2 linked regions of the Elephas maximus indicus genome follow. The protein of the gene in region 1 interacts with the protein of each later gene in a pairwise test. Links are inferred from orthologs where the notes say so. Each region holds a gene or a part of one and is shown on either strand. Other genes may lie near its edges.

What was found.
Region 2: the proteins of THAP7 (region 1) and LURAP1 interact in a two-hybrid assay, tested with the Homo sapiens proteins (2 studies listed by BioGRID and IntAct). The two-hybrid records come from large-scale screens. The link is inferred for Elephas maximus indicus from reciprocal best matches to the Homo sapiens genes THAP7 and LURAP1.

What each region holds. Positions count from the first base shown.
Region 1 is NC_064840.1:21,509,971-21,517,238, forward strand, and holds THAP7 (THAP domain-containing protein 7), read right to left. Parts: upstream 2,872-7,268; 5' UTR 2,826-2,871; intron 2,667-2,825; coding exon 2,587-2,666; intron 2,211-2,586; coding exon 2,055-2,210; intron 1,548-2,054; coding exon 1,407-1,547; exon of another isoform or gene 1,300-1,406; intron 1,215-1,299; coding exon 650-1,214; 3' UTR 513-649; downstream 1-512. Other genes in the region: tubulin alpha-3 chain-like, read right to left, coding at 3,813-4,109. UniProt on the Homo sapiens protein: Chromatin-associated, histone tail-binding protein that represses transcription via recruitment of HDAC3 and nuclear hormone receptor corepressors.
Region 2 is NC_064821.1:88,831,759-88,839,135, reverse strand, and holds the start of LURAP1 (leucine rich adaptor protein 1), read right to left. Parts: upstream 3,010-7,377; 5' UTR 2,907-3,009; coding exon 2,709-2,906; intron 1-2,708. UniProt on the Homo sapiens protein: Acts as an activator of the canonical NF-kappa-B pathway and drive the production of pro-inflammatory cytokines. Promotes the antigen (Ag)-presenting and priming function of dendritic cells via the canonical NF-kappa-B pathway.

The DNA.
Region 1 (7,268 bases):
CTGCCTTGGCCGTTACACCACTGTATCCTTTCAGAAAGGAGTTCTGGTGGCAGTGATTAAAGTGATCGACTGGCAACTGCAAGTTGGGCTGTTTGACACCACCAGTGGCTCTGCAGGAGAAAAGCAGTAGTCTGCTTCCGTAGAGGTTTACGACCTTGGAAACCCTATGGGGTCACTATAAGTCGGAATCAATAGCAATAGGTTTGTCTGGGTTCCCTCAGAGACTTCTGTGGGGCATGGGGGGGGGTGGGCAACAGGCACCAGAGCCCCACCCTGGAGTCCCTGCCTCTTGGACAGGTGTGGGCTGCTACCTGTCCACCTGTGCAGCCGTGAGGAGGAACTGCAGGAAGAGAATGGGGTTTCTAGTCCAGGCAGGCAAGAGCTTGGGCTCCAGGGTCTGTGCCTTCTGGGGGCTGCAAGGACTTCTAGCCCACTGCCTGGTAGCCGTTTCCTGGGGAATGAACCTGAGACTCAAGGGGGTCCCCCAGCCCCATTGAAGCCAAACAGCAGGCCTCATTCTCACATCTGTTTTATTATGGCATCTGGTCAGGTCTGGTGGACACAGTTCATTTGGGTCCCTCTTGGGCAGAATCAGAGGGAGAGGAGGCTGGCACTGCCTCTCTGTCAGCTGGAGCCCAGTGCCCATCCCTCAGGCCAAGCTGCTGCCCAGCTGCATGGCAAAGTCCTGCACGTGCTCCTTCAGAGTCTGGCGGGCGTCAGCCTGTGCCCGCTTCTCCCGCGCCCGCTCCTGCTGCAGCTTGGTGAGGCGCAGCCGTAGCCGCTGCTCCCGTCGCTTGCAGGCCTGCAGCTGGCGCTGGGCCTTGTCCAGGGCATCGAGGGCTGCCTCGGCCCGCCTCTTCCAGAGCAGGGCACTGCCCACCTGATAGCTGTGCTCATTTTGGATGTAGGCCCCCGCGGGGGGTGGCAGGCGCAGCATGTACGCTGAGGGGGAGACAGGCCGAGGCTCCAGAGGGGAGGGCTGCCGCTCCGGCTCGCACTCCGGAGAAGGCTGGGTGCTGCAGCCTGCTTCATCTGCCTGGGCGCCCAGGGGCCCCAGGAGGTCTGAGAAGGGGCTGCTGAGGCCAGGCTCCAGCCTCCCAGCTGGAGAGGTCGGCAAAGCCGCAGGTGCTGAGGCCTCTTCTACGGGAAAGCAGGGGATGTCAGCAGGTGGAGGAGGAGAAAATGGAGTTGTGGGTCCACGGCCTTCAGAGCAGCTAGGGAGAGAAAGAACCTGACAAGCTGGGCCAAGGCCCTGCCAGACCTCATTTCACTAGCCCACCTGAGCGCCCCCACACACAGCTGGGCTCAGGACACTGCTCTCAGAACACCAGCAGGCACCCCACATCCCAGGCCCTCAGACTGCAGTAAGGGAGTGCAGCGGGGCTGCCCCCACCTGTAGCACATACCGTTTCCTGCATCGCTGGAGCCGACTGACTTCAGGAGGACCAGGTGGGTAACTGCGCCCCTTAGTCTTGCATGTCCGACGCAACTTGGAGAAAGACTCAAATATCGTGGGGACCGCCCCTTCCTTCAGCCTGTGATACCCGCTATGGGAAAAGCAGCCCGGATGAGCTGAGAGCAGATGCTGCCCCCACAGGCGGACCTGCCCTGGGCAGGGTGCCCCGCCAGCACCCCGGGGCAGGGTCCCTGGGCACCCTGGGGGAGGCAGGGAGGCAGACTGCGATAGGTAGCCTGGGGAGCGCAAGCGCCGGCAGTGAGACAATCTCCCCCCTGCAGGCCTCCTTGGAGCTAATGTGGCGAGAGACTCCCCAGCAGGGCCGGGGTGAGCAGCACAGGGGATTCTTTAATTTGTGCGCTTGCTGACAGTACTGAAGTTCTAAACAACAGTCTCTGGAAGGACTAATATTTTTTCTCTGCGTCACTGGCCCGATGATCCCGTCTTCATTAGTTAGAAGACAACTGGACGAGGCCGAACCGCCCTCGGAGCCTCGCCTTATTCGCTGCGCCAGGGCCCTCCTCATCGGCCACCCTCCGCCCGGCTTCTCCCACACCCACAGCCCACGCCCGACCCCGCTGGCCGCGAGGAGGCCCACCTGATTCCCACCAGCTCGAAGCAATTCTCTTCGAAGTGCTTGGAACAGAAGTAGATGTACTCGGACGCCGGGTCCCACAGGCCCTGGCCGCTCGGGTCCAGCCGCTGGCAGTTGGCCAACCACAAGCCTCGTCGCGGGTTGTCTTTCTTGGGAAGTCTGCGGAGCCACACACCCCTGAGCGCCGGGCCGCCGGCCGCGCGGGCTCATGCCGCCCGGGGCCCTGGGCAGAAAGGGCAGGCGCCGCGCACAGCGCCGGGCACGGAGTGAAGCCTCGAGGAGGCCAGCAGCTGGTTCAGCGTCACCTAGCGGTGAGAGTCAGGGAGCAGTGGGCCCACACCTCCCGCCCCTTCCTTCCCTTACAGATCGCGGTCCCACCGGCACCGCCCCCCTCACCCTCTCTCACCGGTGACTTCAAGCCTCGCCCCCGCCTGACGGAGGCCCGGGGCACATGCGCAGCCGGCGCCCAGAGCGGCGCGCGAGCCCAGCGCATGCGCACGCGAGCCTTCGCGCGGCAGCACGCACGCGCGCTGACCTGTGGAAGGAGATGCCGCGGTTGCGCGTTTCGCGCGTGTCCCGTGTGCAGCAGCCGGCGGCGGAACAGTGACGCGGCATCTGGGGGAGAGGCAGGAGCTTGGGCAAGGGCGTCTGTCCGGGCCCGCAGGGGCCTCGCGCCCCAACCGCCGCTCCGCTCCAGGGGCCCTGGCTTGTCGGGGCTCCCCCGGCCCTATCTTGCCCCAGCCCGGCCTCTGAACTCCTGTCAGCTGCACTCACGGTGTCGCCATTGCTGCGCCGCCGAAGTCTCGCGATGGGTGGCGCGCGGCGGAAATTGGCACCATAGAGACGGAGGAGCGGACGCGCGCGGCGCTCGGCTGTGGGCGGGACGGGAAGCGGGCGTGGCTGGCTGGCGAGTGGGCCAGGCCCGCGCGGCAAACGCGCTCCCGGTGCTGTCTTTTCGGCGCCCGCGCGGATCTGTGAGTTGCCCGGCGCCGACCGAGGGGCGCGTGATGGCGGCTGCCTTCCAGCTCTGGGGCGCACAGCCTACTGCACCGGCACCCACGGGAGCTGAGGGTCCCTAACTGCACAGAAGAAACCCCGATGACGAGAAGCGGCCGGGACGCTTGCCCGGAACCCCCTGGCAGACACCAGTGCTCAGAGCTTACTCCGGGATACCGGCCAGGGACTTCAGGCAGAGGGACGCCGGTGCGTCGGGCGGCCGTCACTAGTTACAGGGAAGTGTGATGGGCTGGAGGGCGCCGGTGGCAGCCTCGGACAGGAGCGCGGGGAGGCCGGAAGGATGGGCGTTTCCGACCTGGGTCTGCGCTGCCCTGGAGAAGCGGCGGGACCGGGCTCCACGCCGCCAAGCCGGGGTGCAGAGTCATCCCATGATTTCAGAAAGCTCTCTTTGGGCGAAAAAGGCAGATTGCCGTCCCGAGAACACCAAGTATGGCGAGCTAAAGACTTTATATTATTTGAGTAAAGCATTTTTCCGATTCCCTCAACCGAGCCTTTTGAGGCTTTTCTGGAGGTAATGTAAGTTACCAATTAAATGTGCACAGACATGCTTAATTTGTTCTTTTGAGAAGAAATAAACGGATGTTTCCCCTCTAGAAATCTCTTTGAAAAGCCAGGTATCTGGATTGGGAATTTTGTCAAAATGAAGCACAAGAGACGGGACGCCTCAATACAGAAATTTTAATAGATAAATCTGTAAATTACAGTCGGGGAGATACAAATAAATGGCTGCCAGCCACACTCCATCTAGTATTCTTCCCCTTCCTCGGCCTCTGCTTCCACGGAGTCCACGCCCACCTCTTCATAATCCTTCTCCAGCGCCGCCAGGTCCTCCCGGGCCTCCGAGAACTCGCCTTCCTCCATGCCTTCCCCCACGTACCAGTGCACAAAGGCGCGCTTGGCATACATGAGGTCGAACTTGTGGTCGAGGCGAGCCCAGGCCTCGGCGATGGCCGTGGTGTTGCTCAGCATGCACACGGCGCGCTGCACCTTGGCCAGGTCTCCCCCGGGGACGACGGTGGGGGGCTGGTAGTTGATGCCCACCTGTCACACAAGGGGAAGACAGAAGATAAGGTTAATACTGCTCTCAGAAATGATAGCTTAAAAAAAAAGCTGTGGGTCCAGTTTAAGTAATTACTGTAGACACAAAGATGACCACAAAACCAGCATATGATTACATATGTATGAGTATAGGCAAATAAGTATACGGGTAGGTACAGGTGTGCACGTAAGTGTGCACAGGTCGTAGTATCTATACACGTTGAGTACAGATATGTGTGTGCAGGCACATATATTGAAAGAAGACATAATTACTGATACTTCTCGGACATAACTGAACACTTTGTGGGATTGGTTTTCTAAGTTTGTAGGAAGAGGACCTTAGTCTCATGGGACAACTCCATCAATTGGCACAATATAGTTCACAAAGTTCATGTGCTGCATCCCAGTGAAGTGAGTAGTATCTGGGATCTTAAAAGTCTGCAAGCAGCCATCTAAGATATAACTATCGGTCTCTACTTGTCAGGAGCCAAAGAATATGAAGGTAACCAAAAATCACAGAGAGGAAACAAGTCTATAAGGCTAATTGCCTACACAAGCATGACCTCAACTACCCTGAGAACAGAAAAACGAGATGGTGCCCAGCTACCACCACTGACTTACCCAACCAGGGTCACAATACATGATCCTGGTTGAATGGGAGAAAAAGGCAGATCAAAATTCAAATTTATAAAAATGGCCAGATTAACTGGACCACTGAGACCAAAAGACTCCTTGAGGCTATTGCCCTGAGACGCTTTTCAAAACCTTGAATCAAAACTCCCTGAGATCACCTTTTAACAGAAAAGCATCAGGCTCCTGAAAATTTTGGGACCCATGCAGGAGACTGGATTAATGGCAGGACTGTGGAGAGAGCAACACACATTCAAAGCAGCATTGTTAGACATCATCTCTGAGTGGAGCACTTGGTCAAAATCCAAGGCAAGAGACCTGGTTGCTATGCAACAATGCCCTCATTTAAGTCGGCAATTACTGAACAGTTCCAAACTGATTCCAAGCGCTGCTCGAAACTAATGTCTATCATAGAGAATTAAATTATCATGTCAGTTTGTCATGCTGTGGTGGCTTGTGTGTTGCTGGAAGTTATACCAACGAGTATTTCAGAAACCAGCAGGGTCACCCATGAACTTTTCAGTGGAGCTTCCCAACTAAGAGACTAGAAAGAAAGACCCGGTTATCTACTTCCGAATTCTGAATATTAGTGAATAGAAACCTTATGGATCAGAAAAGCACGTTATTTGACTCGCCTGCTTTGGCTACATTATCAGGAGGGATCAACTACTAGAGGAAGACATCATGTTTGGTGAAGTAGAGGGCCAGTGAGGGCAAGGGAGACCCTCAGTGAGATGGACTGTCACAGTAGCCACAATGATGGACTGACACATGATGGTGATTGTGATGATGATACTGAGCCGGGTAACATTTTGTTCTGTTGTACATAAGGCTGCCCTGTGTCAGAGTCAGCAACTAACATCATCATCAAGAGTTAATACAGTTACACAGTAAAACACCATCTATGGTCATTAAAAAGAACTCTGTAGTCTCCAAGGTGCACTGTTATGCAAAAAGTAAAGCAGCTGTATGTGCCAGGCACTGAGCTTGACAGTAACTTTTCCCCATTTCTCAGGGAGGATCAGAGAGGATTGGTCAGTTGTCTGCTCAAGGTCACAGAGCCATGCGTAGTAGAGCCAAAATACAAATACTGTTGGCCAGACACTGGCACTTGAGCACTTAACCATTTTACTATTCTAAAAACTAATGTTATGATTGAATTTTGTCCCCCAAAAGAAATTCAGAAGTTCTAACCCCTGTACCTGTACATATGATCTGTTTCGAAATAGTTTTCGTTTGTTGTGTTAATGAAGCTATACCAAAGTAGGGTGGGTCCTAAACATCATTTCTGAGTGGTACAGAAAAAGCAGAATAGACAAACAGGCTATGGATTGAATTATATCCCCCCAAAAATCTGTGTATCAACTTCGTTAGGCCATGTGTGGTTGTCCTCCGTTTTGTGATTGTAATTTTATGTCACGAGGATTAAGGTGGGATTGTAATACTACCCTTAGTCAGGTCACCTCCTTGATCCAAGGTGAAGGGAGTTTCCCTGGGGTGTGGCCTGTACCACCTTGTATCTCTCAAGAGATGAAAGGGAAGCAAGCAGAGAGTTGGGGACCTCGTACCACCAAGAAAACAGCACGAGGAGCAGAGCGCATCCTTTGGACATGGGGTCCCTGTTCCTGAGAAGCTCCTCGACCAGGGGAAGATTGAGGACGAGGACCTTCCTTCCAGAGCCGACAGAGAAAGAAAGCCTTCCCCTGGAGCCGACACCCTGAATTTGGACTTGTAACCTACTAGACTGAGAAAATAAATTTCTCTTTGTTAAAGTCATCCACTTGTGGTATTTCTGTTATGGCAGCACTAGATGACTAAAACACCACATGAAGATTTGTCTGCAATCAGAGGAACAACAAGGATTGCTGGCAGACACCAGAAACTAGGAGAGAGGTCCAAAGAAGTAACTGGCACGACCAGGACCCTGATTTGGACTTTTAGCCTCTGGAACGGTTCTTTAAAGCCAAAAAAAAAAAAAAAATAAAGCAAGTTCAAGAATGCTACGTAATTATTCTTAGGCTTCAAAAAAACCAACACAGTAACAGACACAGGCTGGCACCTTGGATGGCAAGGGGAACAGCATAATGGAGGATAAAAAACAAAGGACCATGCTGAGGTGGTGACGCTGCCCTGCCCTGCCCCGATGGGTAAGCAGCACCTAGTCTCCAGAAGAGCTGGGAGTGGCAGGGAGAAGGGCACAGGGGACTTCTCACTCTGACCTAGGGGTACCCTGCAGCTCTAAGGCCAGCTGGCCTCTCCAAGTGGGAGTGTTGCCATCTTCCTGGTCTTTCTGGCCACGTATATGTAGTGAGTTGAATCTGTAACCTGCTCGAAAGGAAAGGGCATCCTTAGTCTGTGTCTGTTGGCATCTCTTGAAGGATAAACAAAAACCTCTGGGAAGGGGATGAGGACTTCAGTTTTTCAGGCTTCTACATTGTTTTAACATTTTACCACATACATATTATAATAAACATTTTTAAACATTGCAAAGACGCCTTGACAGTAAGTGTCCTGAGTAAATGGCTGTTAAGG
Region 2 (7,377 bases), on another chromosome or scaffold:
CTCAGAGGCCACCCCAACTTGATTCTTTTCCAAGGGGGATTCAGGTTTCTTCTCTGAATCACCCTACCCCCTCCCCTCAACATGTACACATTAGACTCTCTACTCAGCCCTGGGATAACGGGATATGGCTACCTCATTGCTCCATCCAAATCAGACTCTAGGGTAAAAGCCTGGAGATCCCACTCCCAGCATCCTGGTTGTGGACTGAGATTCTCAGATCATTGTTACTAGAAGGGCCTTTAGAGAGTACCTAGTTCCAAAATCCCACCCCCTATTCCCAGAGGCAGAAAACTGAGGCTGGAAGAAGAAAGACAGGGTCCTGCTCAAGACCACAAAAGAATTCAGGAGCAGAGCCAGATCTCAAACCCATGTCTTCACCTTCCTGGCCTAAAAGCTTTTCCTCAAGCTGCTCTGTGGGGGTGGGTTGTCCTGGAAACAGTTCTTTGGGTGGGAGGACCAAGGGGATGTTGCCATTGTTTCTCCTTCCCACATAACCCAGACTTCAGCTGGTTCTCTCAACCCTTGAATAGAGATGGGAGGCATGAGGGAAGAGGCAGAGCTGACCTTGGCCTCAAAGGCAGGCCTGCTCCTCCCTGTAAGGACAGCTGGGAAGGGGTCAGTTGAAGGACAGTCCTTACAGGACTTGGACCAGTCCTGCCACCAGTGGCTCCAAGGGAAATCCCTCTGCCCCACCCCTTGTCCTCCCTGAGCCCAAGCCAGTGGTCACGGCAGAGTGCATGAAGGGATCAATGACACCCTGGCCTGAGGAGGGAGAAAGGATTGGGGTAGGGATTTGTGGGTGTCTATAAGGAGCCTCTCCCTGTTCTGGCCCTCAGAAGACTCCCTCCCTCCAGCCTCTGGCCAGGCAAAGTTAAGAATACAGAGAGACAAATCAAAAGTTAAATGTACCTCCTTTCAAGTTCATGGACAGTAGTCTCCAATACAGGCAGAAAAGAGTGATTAGGCATGGCTCCCCTGCTGACTTCCTGCCTGAGCTCAGGCAAGCTGCTTAATATCTCCAAGAGAGTTTCCATAGCTGTGTGACAGGGAAAATGATGACTACCTTTCTCACTTCAATGACAATGTGTTTAAAGCATGTGACACAAGGCAGGTCTCAATGTTAAGATGTAAAGTGTAGTCAGACCACCTGGGTTCAAATCTTGGCTCTGTTGTTTACTTTTTGTATGACCTTGGGCAGTTATTTCACCTCTCGGTGCCTCAGATTCTTCATCCATAAAATATCGCTTATGTAATAGGAATGCTGTGGGGATTAAGATAATATCTCGTAAAGTATTGCATGATTCCTGGCACATGCACTCACTGAAAGTTAACTTTTATTTGTAGGATAAGGCAAAGCCAGCCCTCCCCAACCCCCAGCCACCCTGCGCCTCAGGTTAGCAGAGTCAACCTTCAAGGCCAAGTGCACCCTTGGCATTCAGGTCCTTCCCCCAGGGAGCCTTCCCTGACTGCTCCGCCCACAAGGCTCTCCTATCCTCTCAGGAGGTAAGAACCCTAACTGGTCTGGGAGCCCTGTGATCTCCTCCCTCCATCCCTCACAGCACAGCCTGGCACACAGTGGGGCTCCAGGAAGACTTTTTAGCTGACACACTCACTGTGGGCTCCTGGTTCTGGGCCAGGGACTGGCCAGCAATTTCTCAGATCCCTAAAACTAGCTGCAAAGTGATGGCAGGTGTAAATCACCACCTGCTCAGGAACCAGGACCCTGGGGAGTCTGTGAGGAGTGGGGGGAAGCGGGTAGCTGCCCTTTTGGCTCTGAATCTAGACCAGCAGCACCAGGGATGAGGGTGCCTGTTTCCTCATCTTCTCCCCAGGGAGACACAGATGGGATCCAAGTATCCAGTGTACCTTGGGGTAGGAGACTGAGTCAGAGGTGAGGGAACAGACACTGATGGTGCTCCTACTCTGTGTCTGTCATGGTTCTAGGAACTTTCAAATATTTCAAGCGGGAAAGGGGGAAGTGGGGACATTGGGCAAAGGGAGGGAGAATGTTTTTAGTGCTCCTGGTCCAGGCAGTTTTCAGCAGATATGCCCTCACCCAGATCTCTTCGGTGCTGAATCCTGTCCTCAATACTGGAGCCTCAGATGAACCAAACCCCTTCCCAGTCCTCAAGAAGCTCCCAGTTTGGAGAGGGAGAAAAAAAACTGGATGTCCTATAAAGGGGGCTGAGGTGGAAACAGGTGGTCCCTGTGTGGATTTGTGCTCTCGTAGGTTCTCAGTGGAAACCCTGGTGGGTAGTGGTTAAGTGCTACGGCCGTAAACCAAGAGGTCCGCAGTTCGAATCCACCAGGCGCTCTTTGGAAACTCTATCGGTCAGTTCTACTCTGTCCTAGAGTCACTATGAGTCACTGTGACAGTGGGTTTTTGTTTTTTTTTTTTAGGTTCTCAGTAGCTTCTCAGACTTCATTTTCCCACTCCCATTTATTTGACAGGATAACTTCCTAGAGTCTGTGCCTCCCACCCCAAGTCCTCAGGACCCATTAACACCCCACTTACCCTTGCGGGGGCAATTAATGGAGATCAATCCACCTCTGCCTCAGGGTTTGTGAAAAGACTTGGGTGGGGTCCTGAGGGGTAGGTGAGGGGTTTTAACTCGCTCCTCTCCAGCCCAACTCTGGGGGCATCAATCAGTCCTTTCCGGCCCTACACAGGATACTCCGACCCCCTGGCCCGTGGAGCCGACACTCACCAGCTCTATCCTCAGCGCCATGATCTTGTCCCCCAGGCCATGGCCCGTGCTAGCTGCCCCCGGGAGCAGCAGGGCGCCAGGGGTCCCTGGCTCCCATTCGCCTCGCAGCCCGCGTAGCAGCCCTTCAGGGGTCTTCCTGCCCACCTTGCCCTCCACGTCTCGCAGGTCAGGCTTCTGGGACTCCGCGGCCCCTTCCATCCGGACCCAAGCCTGAGCAGTGCTGGAGACCGGACGCCGGGGTCTTGTTCCCAAGGGACCGCCAGTCTCCCGCGCCTATGCGGAGCCGACCGGGTGGGTCCCCGCCCGCGCGGCGCGGGGGGCGGGAGGAAGGTGCCGTAACACTCAGAAAAGCTGCGCAAATCTAGGTATATATTCGAGTGCTGCGCACACAACCTCTAGCCCTGGAATGTGTCGAGCTGGCCGATACTGGATTTGTACCTGAAAGGGTACCTAGGAGAACTCCACGTCTTCTCCCTACTCGGGCACTGAATCCAGCCAGGGACACAGCAGGCGCGCAATAAATGCGTGCTGAATCAAGGCTAAGCATTCTCAGTCGGGGATGTGGAAGGTTAAAGGACAGCGGTAGCAGAGGGCTGCAGAGGATTTTGGAAGGCTTCCTGGAGCAGAGGAGCTGGGTCTAAAACTGTCTAGATTTAGCTAGTCACTGGAACACACACTCCAATACTAGCCCCGTGGCTAGAACTCAAGAGAGAAGGAGCAGAAATGAAAGCCCTCCCGGCCAGTGAGGAAGCAAACAGTGCTGAAGCTGGAGAGGTCCACATGGGCCAAATTATGCTGGCTCTTGTAAATCCGTCTTCTTAAATTTGATTGTGCATATGAATCTTCTATGAATCTTGTTCTGTAAGTGGTGAGGCCTGAGATTTTGTATTTCTAACCAGCTCTCAGGTGTTGGCCATGCCACTGGTTCACAGACCACACTTTGAGTAGCAAGGTTATGTTTTATTCTATGGGCAATGAAGAGCCACTAAAAACTTTTTTTTTTTTTTTAATTTGGCTTGGTTTTTTTAGTTTAAACCAAGAAATTCCAGTCTATGGTTATAAAAGGATTTACAATGAAAATATTACTCCTGCTTTCCTTTCCCACCTCTAGTCCAATACCCCATAGGCAACCACTTTCAGTTGTTGTTGTTTTTCTTTTCCTGGTGTTTAACCCATAATTCTAAACAGTAGGCTTATACTATTACTATTTGATTTTAAACATTGTCTACTGACTTCCTATTATAAATATGGATATAACTTATACTCTCTATTTCCCTTCCTCCAATGGTCCTTTATACTTCTATCACTATTTTTAGTTCATCTAATGGTTACCTTTGTGATTTTAAGTAACACTGTTCTTTAGACAGTGTCTCTTCATCCATGGAAGGGCTTTAAGTCAAAGATTGACAAAAAACATTTGTAGTTTTGAAAGCTTACTCTGGATTTCACAAGGAAAAAGGATTGAAGGGGTAAAAATCTGGTGTCCAGGAGGCCAGTTAAAAGATGAGAAACTGAAACAGCCTGGACTAGCAGACTGGTTGTGAGATTGGAAAGAATCAGACCAGAATGGGGCTCTTTAGGATGTAAGATTGACAGGACTTGGTGACTGGTTACATTCATTTATTTACGGTGGCATTCAATAAATATTAGTTATGTAGGAGAGGTCAGCACAACTAGACTAAACCAAAAGCAAAGAGGTTTCCTGAATATAACTGAACACTTCAAAAGGGCAGAGTAGCAGGGACAGGGCCCTGGGGACCATGTTTTCGGGGGACATCTAGGTTAATTGGCATAATAAAATGTATCAGGAAAATGTTCTGCATCCCACTTTGGTAAGGGGCCTCTAGGGCGTTAAACGCTAGCAAGTGGCCATCTAAGATGCACCAATTGGTCTCAACCTACCTGGAGCAAAGGAGAATGAAGAACACTGAAGACACAAGGTAAAAATAAGCCAAAGAGACGGAAAGAGCCACATAAACCAGAGACTACATCAGCCTGAGACCAGAAGAATTAAATGGTACCCAGCTACAACCAATGACTGCCCTGACAGGGAACACAACAGGGAATCCCTGGGGGAGCAGGAGAACAGTGGATGCTGACCTCAAATTCTTGTAAAAAGAGCAGACTTAACGGTCTGGCTGAAATTAAAGGGACCCCAGAGGTCATGGTCCCCAGACCTTCTGTGTGCCCCAAACCGGAACCATTCCCAAAGCCAACTCTTCAGACAGGGATAAACCAAAACCCAGTGCCGTCGAGTCGATTCTGACTCATAGCGACCCTATAGGACAGAGTAGAACTGCCCCATAGAGCTTCCAAGGAGCATCTGGCGGATTAGAACTGCCGACCCTTTGGTTAGCAGCCATAGCACTTAACCACTATGCCACCAGGGTTTCCTTAGACAGGGATAGGACTGGACCATAAGACAGAAAATGATACTGGTGAGGAATGAGCTTCTTGGCTCAAGTAGACACATGAGACTATGTGGGCAGCTTCTGTCTGCAGGGAAGAAAAGAAGGCAGAGGGGGACAGGATCAGGTTGAATGGACACAGGAAATACAGGGTGGAGAGGAGGAGTGTGGTGTCTCATTAGGGGGAGAGCAGTTGGGAGTATATAGCAAGGTGGTTTACAAGTTTTTGTATGAGAGACTGACTTGATTTGTAAACTTTCACTTAAAGCAAAATAAAAAAAAATTAATTAAATAAATATTTGTTAAAAGAACAAATAAGTTATTTCAACAAATATTATGGAGAGCCTACAATGTGCTAAGAGGCCTGGTGGTGCAACAGTTAAATGCTTGGCTGCTAACCAAAAGGTTGGCAGCTCCAACCCACCTAATGGCTCCTCAGGAAAAAGGCCTAGCAGATCTGCTCCTGGAAAAATTTTTGTGTGCCAAGAAAAGTGGGATACAGACCTCAAATTCTAGTAAAAAGACCAGATATAATGGTCTGACTGAGACTGGAGGGACCCCAGAGGTCATGGATACCAGACTCTCTGTTAGCCCAAAACTAAAACCATTCCCGTAGCCAACTCTTCAGACAAAGATTAGACTGGACTATAAGACATAAAATGACACTGGTAGGGATTGTGCTTCTTAGCTCAAGTAGACACATGAGACTATGTGGGCAGTTCCTGTCTTGAGGCGAGATGAGAAGGCGGGGGGACATGACTGGGTTGGATGAACATGGGAAATACAGGGTGGAGAGAAGGAGTGTGCTGTCGTATTGTAGGGAGAGCAAGTAGGGTCATATAACAACGTGTGTATAAGTTTTTGTATGAGAAACTGACTTGGATTATAAACTTTCACTTAAAATGCAATTAAAAAAAATTATTGTATGCCATCCAGTCAATCCTGACTCACAGTGGCCTTATAGGACTGAGCAGAACTGCCCCATAGGGTTTCCCAGGCTATAAATCTTAGTGGGAGCAAATCGCCAGGTCTTTTCTCCTGTGGAGTCTTTGGTGGGTTCAAACTGCTGACATTTCAGTTGGCAGCCAAGCACTTAACCACCGTGCCACCAGGGTTCCTTCCGTAAAGACACAGCTTAGAAAATCCTATGGGGCAGTTCTGTTCTGTCACATGGGGTCACTATGAGTCCAAAATCGACTCGATGGCACCTAACAACATATTCTCTACACTATACCCTGCAACAACACTATGTGCTAACCATTGTGTGTAGTGTAGAGAATATGTTATTGTGTGCTGCTCAGTTGATTTTCACTCAGAGCGACTCTGGGACAGAGTAGAGCTGCCCCCATAGGGTTTCCTAGGCTGTGAATATTTATCGGAGCAGATGGCCAGGTATTTTCTCTGAGCTGTTGTTGGGTTTGAACCGCTGACCTTTTGGTTAGAGCTGAGCACTTTAACCATTGTGCCACCAGAGCCCCCTGTGAAGAATATAGTGGTGAGCAAACAGACCTGGCCTGGGGACTGGACAGAGAAGGAGGAACCAAGGCTAACGCCCAGCTGTTTGGCCTGATATGATTCAACAAGGAAGGAAACCTAAGAAGAGGTCTGGGAGTGGGAGGAGATGATTTCAGCCAGAGTCATGAATTGGAGGGGCCTGTGGAAATGTCCTTGGGAGCTCTGGTGGTGTAATGGTTAAGAGCTACAGCTGTTAACTGAAAGGTCAGCAGTTAGAATCCACCAGCCGCTCCTTGTAAACCATATGGGGCAGTTCTACTCTGACCTATAGGGTCGTTATGAGTCAGAATCGACTAAATGGCAACGGATTTGGTTTTTTTTTTTTGGTGGGGATGCCTGGAGTCCCTGGGTGGTACAGTTGGCTAAGTGCCCCACTCTGAAAGGCTGGTGGTTTGAACCCACCTGGAGGATCTCAGAAGAAAAGCCTGGTGATCTGCTTTTGAAAGGTTACAGCCTTTAAAACCCTACGGAGCAGTTCTCTGCACACATGGGGTTGCCATAAATTGAATTCAACTCAACGTAACTGTTTTTTTTTTTTTTTGTCCAAGATGTCCAGCAGTTAGTTGACACATGGGTTGGCCTGGAGCTCAGGAGAGAGGTTAGGGCTGCAGTTATGAGTTTACAAGTCTAGGTGGTAATAGAGGTCATGAAAGTGGGTGAGATCGTCCATGGAGAATTTGTGAAAAGAGGGTTAGGTAGAAACCCAAAGACATCTTTTAAATATGTTAGTAAAAAGTGTTGGGTTT